Linked DNA regions of Elephas maximus indicus. The protein of the gene in region 2 interacts with the protein of the main gene of each other region in a pairwise test. Links are inferred from orthologs where the notes say so. Each region holds a gene or a part of one and is shown on either strand. Other genes may lie near its edges.

The links.
Region 1: the proteins of PRAM1 (region 2) and SKAP1 interact in binary tests that used the Homo sapiens proteins (3 or more experiments, as listed by UniProt). The two-hybrid records come from large-scale screens. The link is inferred for Elephas maximus indicus from reciprocal best matches to the Homo sapiens genes PRAM1 and SKAP1.

Annotation. Positions count from the first base shown.
Region 1 is NC_064837.1:45,076,469-45,083,963, reverse strand, and holds the start of SKAP1 (src kinase-associated phosphoprotein 1), read right to left. Parts: upstream 3,016-7,495; 5' UTR 2,849-3,015; coding exon 2,800-2,848; intron 1-2,799. UniProt on the Homo sapiens protein: Positively regulates T-cell receptor signaling by enhancing the MAP kinase pathway. Required for optimal conjugation between T-cells and antigen-presenting cells by promoting the clustering of integrin ITGAL on the surface of T-cells.
Region 2 is NC_064821.1:13,197,448-13,204,817, forward strand, and holds the start of PRAM1 (PML-RARA-regulated adapter molecule 1), read right to left. Parts: upstream 3,002-7,370; 5' UTR 2,748-3,001; coding exon 2,494-2,747; intron 1,709-2,493; coding exon 1,611-1,708; intron 1,014-1,610; coding exon 862-1,013; intron 418-861; coding exon 1-417. UniProt on the Homo sapiens protein: May be involved in myeloid differentiation. May be involved in integrin signaling in neutrophils. Binds to PtdIns(4)P.

The DNA of each region.
Region 1 (7,495 bases), on a different chromosome or scaffold from region 2:
TACACAAACATATATACTTGGTGATTTTTTGGTTTTGTTTGTTTTCAAACAAAAATAGGGTATTATATATACTAATATGCATCTTGCTTTTTTCAGTCTTAAAAACATGCCATGGACATTTTCGGAGTTCATATATACAGATGTATCATATCCTTTTTAATGGCTGCAAAGTATTCTGTAATATGGATGTCCCTTAATTCATTCAACTATCCCCTCATTCTTTCCCAACTCAAGGACATTTAAGATGGATCTTTGTGCACGTACCTTATGCACTTTAATTTCAGTGACATGGATTCCTAGAGATGGGGTTTCTCAAATTAAACATTTTCCAATGTTTAAAATTTTATCGCTACAAAAAATTAATTTTAAACCTTCAGAATTTCTGTTCCCTTCTTCACTATGCAAAAGTGTGGTATAAACCTTTCACAATGCTTTGCATATTTTATTTTTAAAAGCAGACATTATGTCAAAAAACACCCCTGTCATTTATGCCCATGTGGTTATAAATAAATAAATGCTTAAGTTATGGCTGTGATGGCCAGCATTAAATCACTGTGCAAAGGCTTATGCCCTGGTTTATGAAAGTAGTAATTCATCGTGGAAACTCCACCCCACGGCCACGTGGCAGCAGTAAAGCTGCTCTTACATCCTGTGACTCCCTTCCATTGTGTGACTGTAGAGAGATCGGGACCTACATATTTTCTAATTGTCAAGGGTTAACCTTAAATAGAAGGGGAGATGAGTAAACAGCAATAGATATAAATTGATGGCCATTTTGGGTTTCTAATATCCACAAATTATTTGTAACACAATGAGTAATTCTGCTGGTCTACACTAGAGACTGTTTTCCATACAAAATTAAACCTACAGCCAATAAGTTGGTATTACTAAATGAATCTTGAAAACCGTCTTCAAATATTTTCCAGAGGATCACTGGCTGGATCCTACTTTACATTTTTTTCCCTCTACCTGAGATTCAGACTCTAATTGCAAAGTTAAAAAAAAAAAAAAAAACCTTAAAGAAATACAATGCTCTTTAAAATTTAACCTCAGACTCCTCCTTGTATCCTAAAGACCTGAATACCAACAGAGATTGTTAAGACACAGCAAGTTTGATACAGAAGTATGTGACATGCAATTAATCTCCATTCATCGCCTGCTCTGCTTGTCAGCAAACAAAGGTTCTACTTTAGAAGGAGATCTGAAGACTTCAATTAAAAACAGTCAGCTAACAAGAATATAATCTAAGTTAAAGGAAGGTGGCAGGTGCAGAAATGAGTTGTTTACCAAAGTGTCAGTTTTGAACAATACAGGACTGCGTATCAAAAATGCTGAAGGAGTTTCACCGCAAGCTTCTGAAAATAAAAAGGAATTTTCTACCAAGGCTACACACAAAACTGAAGTATAGTTTAACAAGCTTGTAAGATAGGTTTCATCAAATGACAGACACCAAAAAAGGGATCACTTTATATCTTTAAATGCAAGAGCAGAATTAAACTTCTCGCCACAGTTTCTTCTACCCTGGAAACCAAAGACACTTACAGCCTCTTGTCACAAGCCTAGTATTGAACCAAGAGCCAACTCAACACTAGAGGAAAAGGCTGGATTGCTTCTTCTTAGAAACCCAGATAACTCTCTTTTACCTTGCAAATAGTTTTCTATTCCTAAACTTTAGCCTCACTCAGGTCATAATTAAAATGGATTCTGGAAACCTCACCTCAGAAGAAATATCTAGTTGACGGTTTTCACATAGACGAAATCCAGAGCGGAAACGGCGCTACAAGCAGAGACCAAAAGAACTTGCCAAATATTTGATTAGGAGGCATTTATATCAAAATAACAAAGTAATGGAGAGGTAAAACCAATTAAATTGAGAGAAACCGAAAAACTACTGCTTGCCAAGAGCATGACCTGCCCAAAGAAGGCCATCTGTTACGTATGTGCCAAAATGTCACTTAGATGCCAAAAAGCTTAATTCTAAGTGGTTTCCTCCTGAGACCCTATTTAACTGCAGACTCCAAATCTCTGTCTTTCCTAGAAGGTCAGCTACAGGAAAACAAGTAAAACTTCCTTTCACCAGGAAAAGTGTGACCTGAGCAGATGATACTGCCCATTAAGGAAAAGTCTCTTTAGAGCGTTAGAAGTACGTGTTGAGTGTTAGTATGGCCTCAACCTTCTAAAAAGACTGCTTAGACACTATAGTTTCAAAGTAAACATAGCACAATGGGACAACTCTAGCTAGACTTGGGTTCAGCATTGAGACCCCCTAGAAATCTGCAGGCTGATAAAGTGAGGCCTGGCGTTTCAGCACTGACAAAAAAACTAAGATGAACCACCAGGCCTCGACCAACAAAGGCTCACCCTGGGAGTCCTTCACAGAACCTCAGGGGCCTCTAAGCAGGAAGGTGAGGATCTTCTGTGAAAGGTGATGGAAGTGGGCAGGCGGGGGGTGGTGATGAAAAGGGAGAAAGCCTGCGGATGTAGGGCGTGGTCCTAAGGGGGAAATGACAGGTAAGGGGCCAACAACCTGGCCTGGAGGAGTTTAGAAGTTGGGGAGGTTATGTGTAGTAAAGACGCCTTGAGGAAAAAGAAAATGTGGAATTGGAGAGAGAGAAAGGGACCCTGAAGTGAGTGGATGAAAACCTAGTTTTGAAGATTCTAGAAGCCTTGAGTGAAGGAGCTAAAGAGAAAGCCTGGCCTTGGGAGCCCCTGGTGTCTCCTTTCCTCCCTTCAGCTCAGCACTTGAGGGACTTCCCGGGGGGTGGAGGGAGGGAGCTGGGGGCTGGGCCAGGGCGTTACCTTCCAGGAGCCAAAAGACCTCCTCAGGGAGAGTGACGGTGGCCTGCATTTGGCGGGGACGGTAGGAAGGCCGGCGTGTGAGACAGGACAGGGGCGTGAAGGCCTGTTCCAAAGACCGGCGGGCTGGAAGGTGAGGGGAGACCGCCGCGGAGGCACCTGTACCTCTGCCGTCGTCGCCCGCCGCAGCAGCCGGGCCGAGCCGCAGGGCGGGGCCGTGATCCCGGGGCGCGCTCAGGAAGTGGCGCGCGCGGCGGGCCGGGGGGCGCCCCCCGTGGAGCTCGCGGCCGGGGGCGCAGCCCGGAGGTGGGGGCGTGGCGTGCCCGCGCGGGGGGCGCGCGGCACCGTCACCGGGGCTCTGAGGTCCGCTGGTGGCGAGGATGGACGGGCGGGAGGGCCGCACCGTGGAGGCCGACAGGTTTCCCCACAGGCCGGTTGCCAAAACGAGGGACTTCACAAGACTCAAAGGAACCAAGTCTCTTTGAGACTTTCCGACCTAAGCACTGAACAGTTGGCCTAAAGGCTTGGACGCCACAGAGATGCCTGAAAGAGGGTGTGAACAGGCGGAACCCGAGAAAGAGGTTAGTCCAAGCCAAGAAGCGCCACTCAATTCCTGATCCCGTCCACACCGTCGTTGCTCAGAAAACTAAGGCAGAACGTTCTCTATCTCAGGTAAACCTGGATGTTTAAAGGGAATGATTTTAAGTCCCGGTAAATTATATGAAGCCACCAACATTTGGGAGAGTTGGAGCGGAAGCAGCAGCAATGGACTCAGGAAGACAAAGCGTCCCCCTCTAAGGTTGAAAGGATATGGAGAAAGGAAGGGGTATTGACTTAGTTATCTAGTGCTGCTGTAACAGAAATACCACAAGTGGATGGCTTTAACAAAGAGAAGTTTACTCTCTCAGAGCCCAGTAGGCTAGAAGTCTGAATTCAGGGCTCTGGCTCTAGGGAAAGGTTTTCTGTCTCTGTCAGCTGTGGAGGAAGGTCCTTGTGATACATCAGTCTTCCCTTGGTCTGGGAGCGTCTTAGCACAGGAACTTCAGGTCCAAAGGACAGGCTCTGCTCCCAGCACTGCTTTCTTGGTGGTATGAGGTCCCCATGTCTCTACTGGATAATCTCTTTTATATTGCAAAAGACATTGGCTTAAGACCCTATCTAGTCTTGTAGATCTCATCAATATAACTGACACTAATAATCCATCTTATTAACATCATATTGATAGGGTTTACAGCACATAGGAAAATCTCATCAAATGACAAAATGGACAATCAGACAATACTGAAAATCATGGCCTAACCAAGTTGACACATACTTTGGGGGGACACAATTCAATCCACAACAGGTATCTGGGTAGGGAAGCTGACAGAGAGGCGTACAGAGCCCTTTCCCTCTAAGAGCTGACAAACAGGAGAATGAACAGAGGCTAGGCCAAGATCATAGGGGAGAGTTTCTCTCCCCCTTACTCGAAGTACATAGGCATCAGTATCCTGGTTGTGATACCATGCTGTATTACAAGATGTTACCATTGGGGGGCTCTGGGTAAAGGGTGAACAGGATCTCTGTATTATTTCTTACAAATGCGTGTGAATCTACAGTTACCTCACAATAAAGAGTTTACTTTTAAAAAAACTACAGTAGGCCAAGTGCTGTGAGAAAGGTTTAAAATGCTGTGGGAGGGAGATGGGTATAAGAAAAGGAGGGAAGTGTCTGTGTGTTTAGTGGTGCATGTAGCATTTGAAATAGGCTCTGAAAAACACGCCAGACGTTGAAGGGTCAGAAGCGCTTTCCAAGTGGAAGGACCAGAATAAACAGATGGAAAAGCCCTCTACTACTTAAGGAACAACTACCAAAAACCCAATGCCGTGGAGTCGCTTACTAGTAGCCCTCTTTTACTGGATGGCGTAGGGATACTATGGTGTCAAAATAAATTGAATCTATTGTGAAAGGCCTTGAATGATTTTTAATTCAATCAAATGGGCATTGGGGAGCCATTGACAATTTTTGAGGTAGAAGGTGACCTAATCAGAGTTCTGTGGTAGCATATGACCTCACATATCTCACTTCACCTCTACCGTTTTCCTTCTTTGTAAGATGGAGTTTTCTATTCTCAGACTCAACCCACAGACTATGTGGGAAGGATTGGAAGTGGTAAGAGAGAGGACATCGGGAAGATGAGTGAAGTGGTTTTTACGGTGGCATCAGAGGGAAATAATGGTGAACTAAAGCAAGAAGGGGAAGAACCCTGGTGGTGCAGTGGTTAAGGTGTTCAGCTGCTTATTGAAAGCTTGGTGGTTTGAGCCCACCAGCCGCTCCATAGAAGAAAGCTTCCATAAAGATTACAGCCTTAGAAAACCTATGGAGCAGTTCTACTCTGTCCGATAGGGTCACGATGGTAATGTGTTCTTTTTAAAGCAGGGAGGTGGTGACAGAAACAGCCAGAAGAAACGGTGGTAGCAGTGCCTACTTTTCTGGCCTAGTTTCCCCTCTAGAGATACAGCCTCAAGGTTGGAGGCCTGATCCTTGAGGGGGTGCAGTGACTTTGAGCCATCTTTACACTTTCGCTTCCTGTGATTTGAAGAGGAATGGTGCCTTGGTTTCAGAGTCACATGACCCACCCACAACAAGTTGTCGGGTGGGGATAGAAGGCTGGCTGGAGTCTCTAGGGAATCTGGCTCCTGCTGGTCCTCCTTCGTGCCCTGGGAAGGTGTAGTAATGGGCAAGCTGCCCCCTCTAGGCCCCTGAGAAACTACCAGGTAGCCCCCAGGCAGTTTCGCCAACCTCATTGCCTATCCTTCTATAAAATTGTAGCTGTTCTTGAATCATTTTTTCGTACTTTTACCATGTGTTAAAAAGCAAAGGAGGATATATGGGATCTCTCTGTACTATCATCACAATTTTTTTGTAAATCTAAAACTGTGTTAAAAAATAATTTATTAAAAAAAAAAAAACAGCAAAAGAAACAAAAACCAAACCGACTGCTGTTGAGTCAATTCTGACTCATAGTGACCCTACACCAAAAAAAACCCGTTGCTGTCAAGTGAGTTCCTTTCATAACAGCCCTATATGGACCCTACAGGACAGAGTAGAACTAACTGCCCCATAGAGTTCCCAAGGAGCACCTGCTAGATTCAAACTGCCAACCTTTTTTTTTAGCAGCTGTAGCACTTAACCACTACGCCACCAGGGTTTCCAGTGACCCTGTAGGACAGAGTAAAACTGCTCCATAGTGTTTCCAAGGCTATAATCTTTACAGGGAAACCCTGGTAGCATAATGGTTAAGTGCTATGGCTGCTTACCAGAGAGGTCAGCAGTTCGAATCCACCCAGCGCTCCTTGGAAACTCTATGGGGCAGGTCTACTCTGTCCTGTAGGGTTGCCATGAGTCAGAGTTGACTTGATGGCAACGGGTTTGGCTTTTTTGGTTTTAATCTCTACAGAAGCACACTGCCACATCTTTCTCTCTCAGAGCAGCTGGTCGTTTCAAATCACTGGCCTTTCTGGTCAGCCACCAAGTGCTTTAACCACTGTGCCACCATGGTATGGTTCCTTTAAGGAAACAAAACCCCTCCTATATGGCACCTCAGCACTTTGCCTTGCCTCCCCTCTCAGGAGTGAAAGAAAAATTCAACAACCCCCCTTCTTCAAAGATATTGTGTCACCTGCTAATATAGGCTACAAGCTAATGAGTTTTTTGATAAGGAGCAATAAACCCAGGTAATTGCACATCCTCAAAGGCCTCACTGCCTGTCAGAGCTTACTTATACCAAGGGAAAGAGCAGAAACTCACTGCATAGGTATTCTACATCCATTCCTCCCCACAGGAATCTCTGGGTTTTAGAGAGGTAGGGGTAGAGAGAGGCACAGGGTTGGATAGCATGTGGTGGCTGACTGGCAGATTCCAGTACGGTATTGTCATGTTGCATCAAGGTTCCTCATTGCAGACAGAAACCTGCCTCCACACATGAGCACAGCCCCTTCTTAATCATCTGAGGACCCTAGTTCAGCAGTCAGCCTCACTCCTAATGACATTCTGTTAAATGGACAAATTCCTTTGAAACCTTGTCCTTCTTTGAAATCCAATTTCGAAGGAAGCCAAATCTGATTGGGGGTAGCCATGGAAACCACATCAAGGAGTCTTAGAGGAGGTGGAGAGAGGCAAGGCAAACCATCATAGTCAAGAGTCCTTTACTGCTCTGTCAGAAATATCAAAGGGATCCGAAGAGGTTGGCAGCAGATGAGTCCCTGCCCAGGTCCTGTTCTGTGTGGCTGGGTACCACGTGGCTGTCATGGAAGTAAGCAGCCAGCTGTCTCTGCACACAGGCGGGGGGAATGGAGCAGAATACACAAATCCCAGGTCTGTCTCCTCCCTCTTTCTCCCCTCCCCCCCAACCCCAATTCCAGCAAGATCTTAGGTGCCCCCCCCTTAAAGGCAAACAACAAAAGAATGACAAGGTTAAAGTGCAAGGCCCTCACTGATAAGAGGTCCTTTGGAGCAGAGGCTAAGAAATTAATCTGAAATTCCTTGTAATTAGATAAGATAAGGGTATCTAAAGAGATGCAGAGCAGCCAAGAATGGAGTCCAGCAGCACAACATGCAGAAAATATACCCTCTTGTCACTGGAGCCCCTCACACACTGTCAGCAGACAGAAAATAGGGCCCCTGCTGGCCTCTGGGCTGCTGGGGGAGGCTGTCTATA
Region 2 (7,370 bases):
GAACTCTGGCTGCAAGGGCTTCCTGGGGTGATCAGTGAACTCGGCCTGCGAGGCCTTTTTAGGGCCCGCAATGAACTCGGGCTTCAAGGGCTTCCTGGGGTAATCGGTGAACTCAGGCTGTGAGGCCTTCTTGGGGCCTGCACTGAACTCGGGCTGCGAGGGCTTCTTGGGGTGATCAGGGAACTCAGGCTGCGAGGCCTTCTTAGGGCCCGCACTGAACTCAGGCTGCGAGGGCTTCCTGGGGTGATCAGTGAATTCGGGCTGTGAGGCCTTCTTGGGGTGCTCGCCTGGCACAGGCTGTGGAAACTTGGGCAGTTTGTTGAACTCAAGCTTCGGAGGTTTCTTGGGGAGTTCACTGGGCTCGGGCTGAGAGGCCTGGAACTTTGCTTGGAGGCTCCGGAAGTCCTGATGGCCCTCCTATGGGACACGGAGCCAGTCAGGCGGTGACTCTGATACAGAGGGTCGTGGGGACACACATAGACAATGTCATAGACACGCACCACCATCACCATCCCCAGGCTTCTCTTCCCTGGCCTCAGCCCTCATGCCTTTCTCTTTCAAGGATCCCCCATATTTTTTTCTTCAGCCTCCCCCTGAGCCCAAAACAAAATAAAACCCAACCAGCTGTCGTCGAGTCATTCCAACTCATGGCAATCCCATGTGTGCAGAGTAGAGCTGCTCCAAAGGGTTTTCAGGGGTGACCTTTTGGAAGCAGATTGCCAGGCCTTTCTTCTGAGACACCTTGAGTGGGTTCAAACTGCCAACCTTTCAGCTAGCAGCTGCTTAACCATTTGCAGCACCCAAGGATGACTCTCTGAGCTCCAGGCTCCTGTAACTATGCCCTCCCTCACCCCCACTCACCAGCAGGACCTGAGCGCCCGATTGCCTGGTTTCCCCAGCCTGCTGCCCCCACAGTCCTCTCTCAGTGATGGTGTCTTCCCGGTATCCCTGACGCCCTCCTCCTCTCATACCCCGTTTCTCCAGTTCCTTCTGTTCCAACTTCCAAATACCATCTGGAATCCAAACACATCTCACAGCCTCACCACTGTCACCAGGCCCAAGGACCCTGCCTCCATTCCTGGATTATAACAGGCTCCTCCAGGCCCCCACCCTTCCCTCACCACCTCCGTCAGTTCCCCTCCCCACCCTCCACAGCAGCCACAGGACGCCCGTTAGGCCCCAGCTCCCGCTGCTCCAATCCTGCTGCGGTTCCTCGAGTGCCCACTAAACGCCAGAGGCCTCGGCAAGGCCCTGGCTCTGTCCCAAGTGCCCTTGAAGCCCCTCGTCGAGTCCCAGGGCCACCTCCTTCCCCACTGCCTCCTTCCACTCCCCTTGTTGCTCCTTGAACTACCTTCCCTCCCATCTTGGGGCCTTCGAACTTGCCCTTCCCCTCTCCTGGGACACTCTTCTCCACCACGTGGCTCTTTCCTCTTCCTCCTCCAGTATTTGCTTATTAGAGAGGTTTTCCCGGAGCGCCATATTGTAAATTGGTTCCCCTTCCCCAGTACTGAGTTCCCTGAATGGCGCAAACAGTTCAATTCTCAGCTACCAACCGAAAGGTTGGTGGTTCACATCCACCCAGAGGCACCCCAGAAGAAAGGCTCATTGACCTGCTTCCGGAAGATCAGCCACTGGAAACCCCAGGGCGCACAGTTCTGCTCTGACACGGGGTCGCCATGAGTCGGAGTTCACTCGAAGGCAGCCGTTTCTGGGTGGTGTAAACAGTTAACCTGCTTGTCTGCTAACCAAAAGGTGGGTGGTTCACGTCCTCCCAGAGGCACCTCAGAAGAAAGACCTGACAATCTACTTGTGGAAAGGGCCTATGGAGCAGTGTTCTACTCTGACACACATGGGGTCGCTGTGAGTTGGAGCTGACGTGCCAGCAGCTGTTCTTTTTGTTTCTGTACTACCTACGTGATTTTTCCCTTAGCAGCTGCCACCGTGTGTCATGCCTTTTATACATACACGGACACACACGCACACATTTTTTATGTGTCCTGACAGTTTTTGTTTTGTTTGTTTTTTTGCCTCTACCCCCACCCTCCGCCCCTGGAAGAATGTAAGTGCCGCCAGGGCTGTCATCTTCGCAGTGCCTGTCACGAAGTAGGTGCTCAGTAAATGTCTGTTAAATGAAAATACACAGAGAAGCACAAAGGTATCGTCTCAACCATGTACAGTCTGTTACAGACCCACGTGGACATGTGTGGAGGGACACACGGACCTGGGCTAAGCACAGGCACACGTCACAGACACCAGGCAGCAGCGGCAAACAGTCCACCTCAGGCACCCTCCCTGGCGCTGCACGAGCCCACAATGCTGCGGAAGGCTCCTGGCGACAGGCACGGGCAGGCGCCCAAGTAGGGCAGGCCCTTTCTGACCTATAAATTCCCCCCAGGTGGCCCTGCATCAGACCCCTGAGCCTGGCTTTCTGGGGGTCAGTAAGGTTGGGGGAGGAGGAGGCAACAAGCGGGAAGAGGGAAGGACTGGCCTGACCTTTGCCTCACTCTCCCTGTCGGGAGAGCCAGGGGGTCCGGATCACCCCTTGGAAAGACGAGGACCCCCGCCAGGGGCCTGAACCGTCTCTGGTCAAGCCCCCAGCTGGGCTGGCTGAGTCCAGGGTTCCCAAGTGACCACAAGGCCTGATAAATCAGGATCAGCAGGTCATGATTCAGGTGAAAGGGAGATGGGGATGGGAGGTGATGATGTATGACCCACTTTGTCACGCCACAGGAAGTCCCTACTCTCATCCCGGCCTCCCGTGACCAGGTTGCTGCTCATGCTGACCTGGGAGGTGGGGAGTGGTCCTGGGCTGTCCCACCTGTCCCCCTTGCAGTCACAGCCCAGCCTGGCCTGCCCTCAGAGCCCGAGCTGCCCTGGAGCTGCGCCCAGCTGCTTCCTACCTTAGGGCCCTTTCCGGGTCTCAGCCCCACTCCTAGGCTCTCCACTCCTACAATGTGCCCACTACTACCCATTGCTCCTCCTTCGCTACCTCAGGTATGGGGCTCTCCCGGGGTTGGGGACTCACCATGGCTGCAGGCAGGTGACGGGCTGGGGCGCGTGGGACCCGCGCCGGGCTGCTGCCTTCAGGAAATGACTGTGGCTTCTGCTCTGGCCAGCTCTCAGGGGTGGGGGCTGCTGGTGGAAGGCAGAGGAGGAAGGAAAGGAGGCGGGGACTACCCCAGCCTGTCCTTAGATCCTGCAGGTACCTCTGTCCCCCTTGAGTTCCTGTCCCACCTGCTGCTGCTGTCCCTGAGCTTCAGGTGCTGGGCAGTATCCATGCCCAACAGGGGCCCTAGCTTGTTAACTCTCTGTTGCCCTCTCCCCCGGGGGTACTCAGTGCCAGGCCTTGGGGGCCTTCTGCCTCCAGAGAGAAAGGCCCCAGGGGAATCCAGCCCTGGCTGGAGCCTCCGATGGGGCATCCTGGGTGGGAGAAAGGCATGGTCAGACCTGGGGAGCCCCCAAGAGCTGGGAGAGGGGAGGGGTGTGCTGTCTGAGGCCTATTGCCTGCCCTCTTGCCTCACTCACCTTCCGCATTTCAACGCTTCCCCACCAGCTGCTTCCCAGCTCGGACCCAGACTTCCCTGTCACACTGCGAGGCTAGAGGGCTAGGGCAGACAAGCTGGCACAGGACCTGGCCAGGGTGGCGGATTTGGTTGTGGTGATGGAAGTGGTCAAATGCCCTGCCCACGGGGGGGAGAGGGGGGAAGAGGGGGCCTGAGGACACCCCAGCCCATCACTTCCCTTCTTGAAAGTGTGAAGGGGAGGAACCAGAGGTGACAGAGGGCAACAAGGTGGCAGAGAGGAGCTGGAGGCAATGGGAAGGACCAGTCCAGCCAGATAAAGGCAGGTACTGACAGGGGCCTGTCCTTGGAGGTCTGCAACCTCACGGGGAAAGCCTCCAGTTCAGAACATTGGAATTCCCTGAGGAGTTGACAAGACAAAACCCTGCATGGATTCTGACTTAACTGGTCTGGGTGTGGCTTGGGCTGTTGTTAGTTGCCTTCCAGTGGATCCCACGTCTTGGCGACCCCACATGTACAGAGCAGAACTGCTCTGTAGGCTTTTCTTGGCTGTAAGCTTTACAAAAGCAGATTGCCAGAACTTTCTTCCACAATACTGCCTTAAGTTGTTAGTTCCTGTCGATTTGATTCCGACTCACAGCAGCTTCATATGTGCAGAGTAGAACTGTATTCCATAGGGTTTCAAGGCTGTGACCTTTTGGAAGCAGATGGCCGGGCCTGACTTCCATGGCACCTCTGGGTGGGTTTGAACCGCCAACCTTTGGGCTAATAGGCACTTGACTGTTCGCACCAGCCAGCCACCTGTGGCCTGGGTACGAGGATGTTTTAGGCCTGCAGAGCTGATTCTAATCTGCAGCTACATTGAGCAGCACCAGAAACCTTGCTAAGATGCAGATTCTGACTCAGCTCCACGATGGGCCTGATTCCCCAGGCCCCCCAGTGATGCCGGGACTGCTGGTTCAAAGACCACACTTTGAGTAGTGAGGTGGGAATGAGCTTATTTGAAGAAGGGGCAGACAGGGAAGGCAAGCCGGCCTGTCTTGAGGACGGTGCCTTCTGCCTTCATCCTCTGCCCTTCAGAAGGGAACTGGCAGCACCTTCATTTCTGTGTCTGCATTAAGAGCACAGCCTCGGGATTCCGGAGCCTCCAGGCCACTTTGCAGGTGTAGGGCCCCTTCCAAACAGGGCCCAGCCAGGGTCCTCTGGGTCTCCAGCCTCAGCCAGCAAAGGCTGGTTGGAAAAGCACCGCACGGAATGTTTGGTAAGGGAATGCATGAATAAAAGAACAAATGATTATTGGCCAAGAGCATACAGTAGATGCTCAGTCAAGGTCAGCGAAAGGACTGACAGCTGGTGACTCGTGGGCAGGGGAGCCAGCGGGCGGTGCGTGTGGCAGGCCGGGGAAAGCAGGTGTGGGCGCGCGGTCCCAGCACGGCCACCAGGGGGCGTATCCCCCCCCCTTTGTGTGTTTGGCGCCTTCCCTGTGGAGCTGGGGCCTGGGTCCGCGAGGCCAGACATGGACAAGCGGCTCCACTTGCAGCTGCGGAATCGGAACCCAGCAGAAGTTATCAGGGGGCAGGATCCGCCTTGGGGAGCGGGGTTTCGCTGGGGCGCAGCCTGGAACACTGTGGACTGGGGAGGGGACCAGGCCTGGGAACTTAGACGCTCGGGTGTCCTAGCGCGGGGGGCGAGGGGCCTGAAGTGCGCAGAGAGCTGAAGCTGGCACGCCCGGTCCCTGCGCAGGAGCCCGGGGCCATGTGGCTGGCTGCCCGGGTCAGGGGTGGCGACACCCGGGCAACCGAGGGCCAGGCTCAGCCGCACGTGGTCCGAACAGTCCGAGGCCGGGGGTAGTCTGAGCACGTGGGCGGCCAATCCGGGGGGCGCGTAGGGGGGGCCGCCTGGGGGGGGGGCGCAGAGTCCGGAGCCCGGGATCAGGGCTGGCAGGGACTGCGGGTGCTCCACCCAGGGTCCGGGGACGCGCCCAGGAAGGAGCCTCCACCTCCCGGCGCCCAGCCTGGCGTGCGGGTAACCGAGCCGGCACCCGCAGGTGACCGAGCTGGTGCTGGACAACTGCCGGGCAGAGGGCCGGCACCTGACTGATCTCACAGCGGACTTGAGCCGCCTGGAGCGGCTCAGCCTGAGCTACGTGAACCTGCAGTCGCTGGCGAACGTGTCCTTGCTGGGCCAGCTGCGAAAGCTGGACGCCTGCCGGAGTCAGGATGCCCTAGCTCATCTCATTCATTCCCTCTAGGGACAGACTTCTGGGCGTTCTTTGCTGGGCCCAGCTGCGGCCCTCACAGGACTCATCTCCAAGGCATCCTGGAGTTGGAGGGGGTACCTCTGTGGGTCACGGCTTAGCTAGAGGAAAGGGAGCCAGATCAGAAGGCTCCCCAGGAAACCAGACAAATGTTGACCTTGAGTGGGGGAGGCTTGAGGATAGGAGGTAGTTGCTGGAGTGAACACAGTGGTTGGTGGAGGCCAGATCCTGATCCAGCTCCTGGGGCCTTCGGTACAGTTCCAACTTGTTCCAGAGGGCAGCTGGGAGCGGTTCCCTCCACAGAAACGATGGGCTGGGGGGACGGCCCTGGATAAAGGCGCTGGCTTTGGGTCTCTGGAAAGGTGCCGCCAGATTGGGAAGTGGTGTTGCCTGGATTTGGGGGAGGGTGGGGGACGCTGGAGGGTTGGGTGTAGGGTGATGGAAAACAGTAATTACGTGATGATCATTCGGCAATTAATTCTTGATCACCTATTACATACCACAAGAGCACTCGTGTCGAAAAGGTTAATCACTCAGCTGCTAGCCGCAAGTTTGGCGGTTCAAACCCACCAGCCTCTCTATTGTAGAAAGGAGTTGGCCGTCTTCTTCTGTAAAGATTACAGCCAAGAAAACCCTATGGGGCAGTTCTACTCTGTCCTATAGGATGGGAATTGACAGCACACAACATTATGTTCCAAAGGAGCCCTGGTGACATGACGGTTAAGAACTTGGCTGCTAACTGAAAGGTCAGCAGGTCAAACTCACTAGCTGGCTCCTCAGGGGAGAAAAGACCTGGTGATCTGCTTCCGTAAAGATTACAGCCAGTAAAGTCCTATGTGCAGTTCTACTCTATTGCCTGGGGTCACTATGAGTCACAAGCGATTCTACAGCACCTAACATCATTATGAACCAGGTCCCTGGGCTGAGTGGTGCAAATGGTTTGCTCTCAACTACCAACCTACGAAGAAGAATTAACCGAAGAATTGATGCCTTTGAATCGTGGTGCTGGCGAAGAATATTGAATATACCATGGACTGCCAAAAGAATGAACAAATCTGTCTGGAAAGAAGTACAACCAGAATGCTCCTCAGAAGCAAGGGTGGTGAAACTGCACCTTACATACTTTGGACATGTTGTTAGGAAGAATCAGTCCCTGGAAGACTTCATGCTTGGTGAAGTACAGGGTTAGCGGAAAAGAGGAAGACTCTGAAGGAGACGGACTGACACAGTGGCCACAACAATGAGCTCAAGCGTAACGACGATTATGAGGATGGTGCAGGATTGGGCAGTGTTTCATTCTGTGGTGTATGGGGTCGCTGAGTCGGAACCTACTCAATGGCACCTAACACCACCACCACCACTAGCCTAAAGGTTGGCACTTCAAACTCACCCAGTGGTGCCCCAGAAGAAAGGCCAGCAATCTGCCTCCATGAAGATTACAGCGAAGAAAACCCTAAAGAGCACAGTTCTACTCTGTCACCCACAGGGTCTCCATGAGTTAGAATCAACTCGATGGCAATGAGCCAGGGGACCCTGATACCCGGAGAGGAGCTGGGGGTCTGGAACACCCTGTCCCTGAAGTGAGGGAGAAT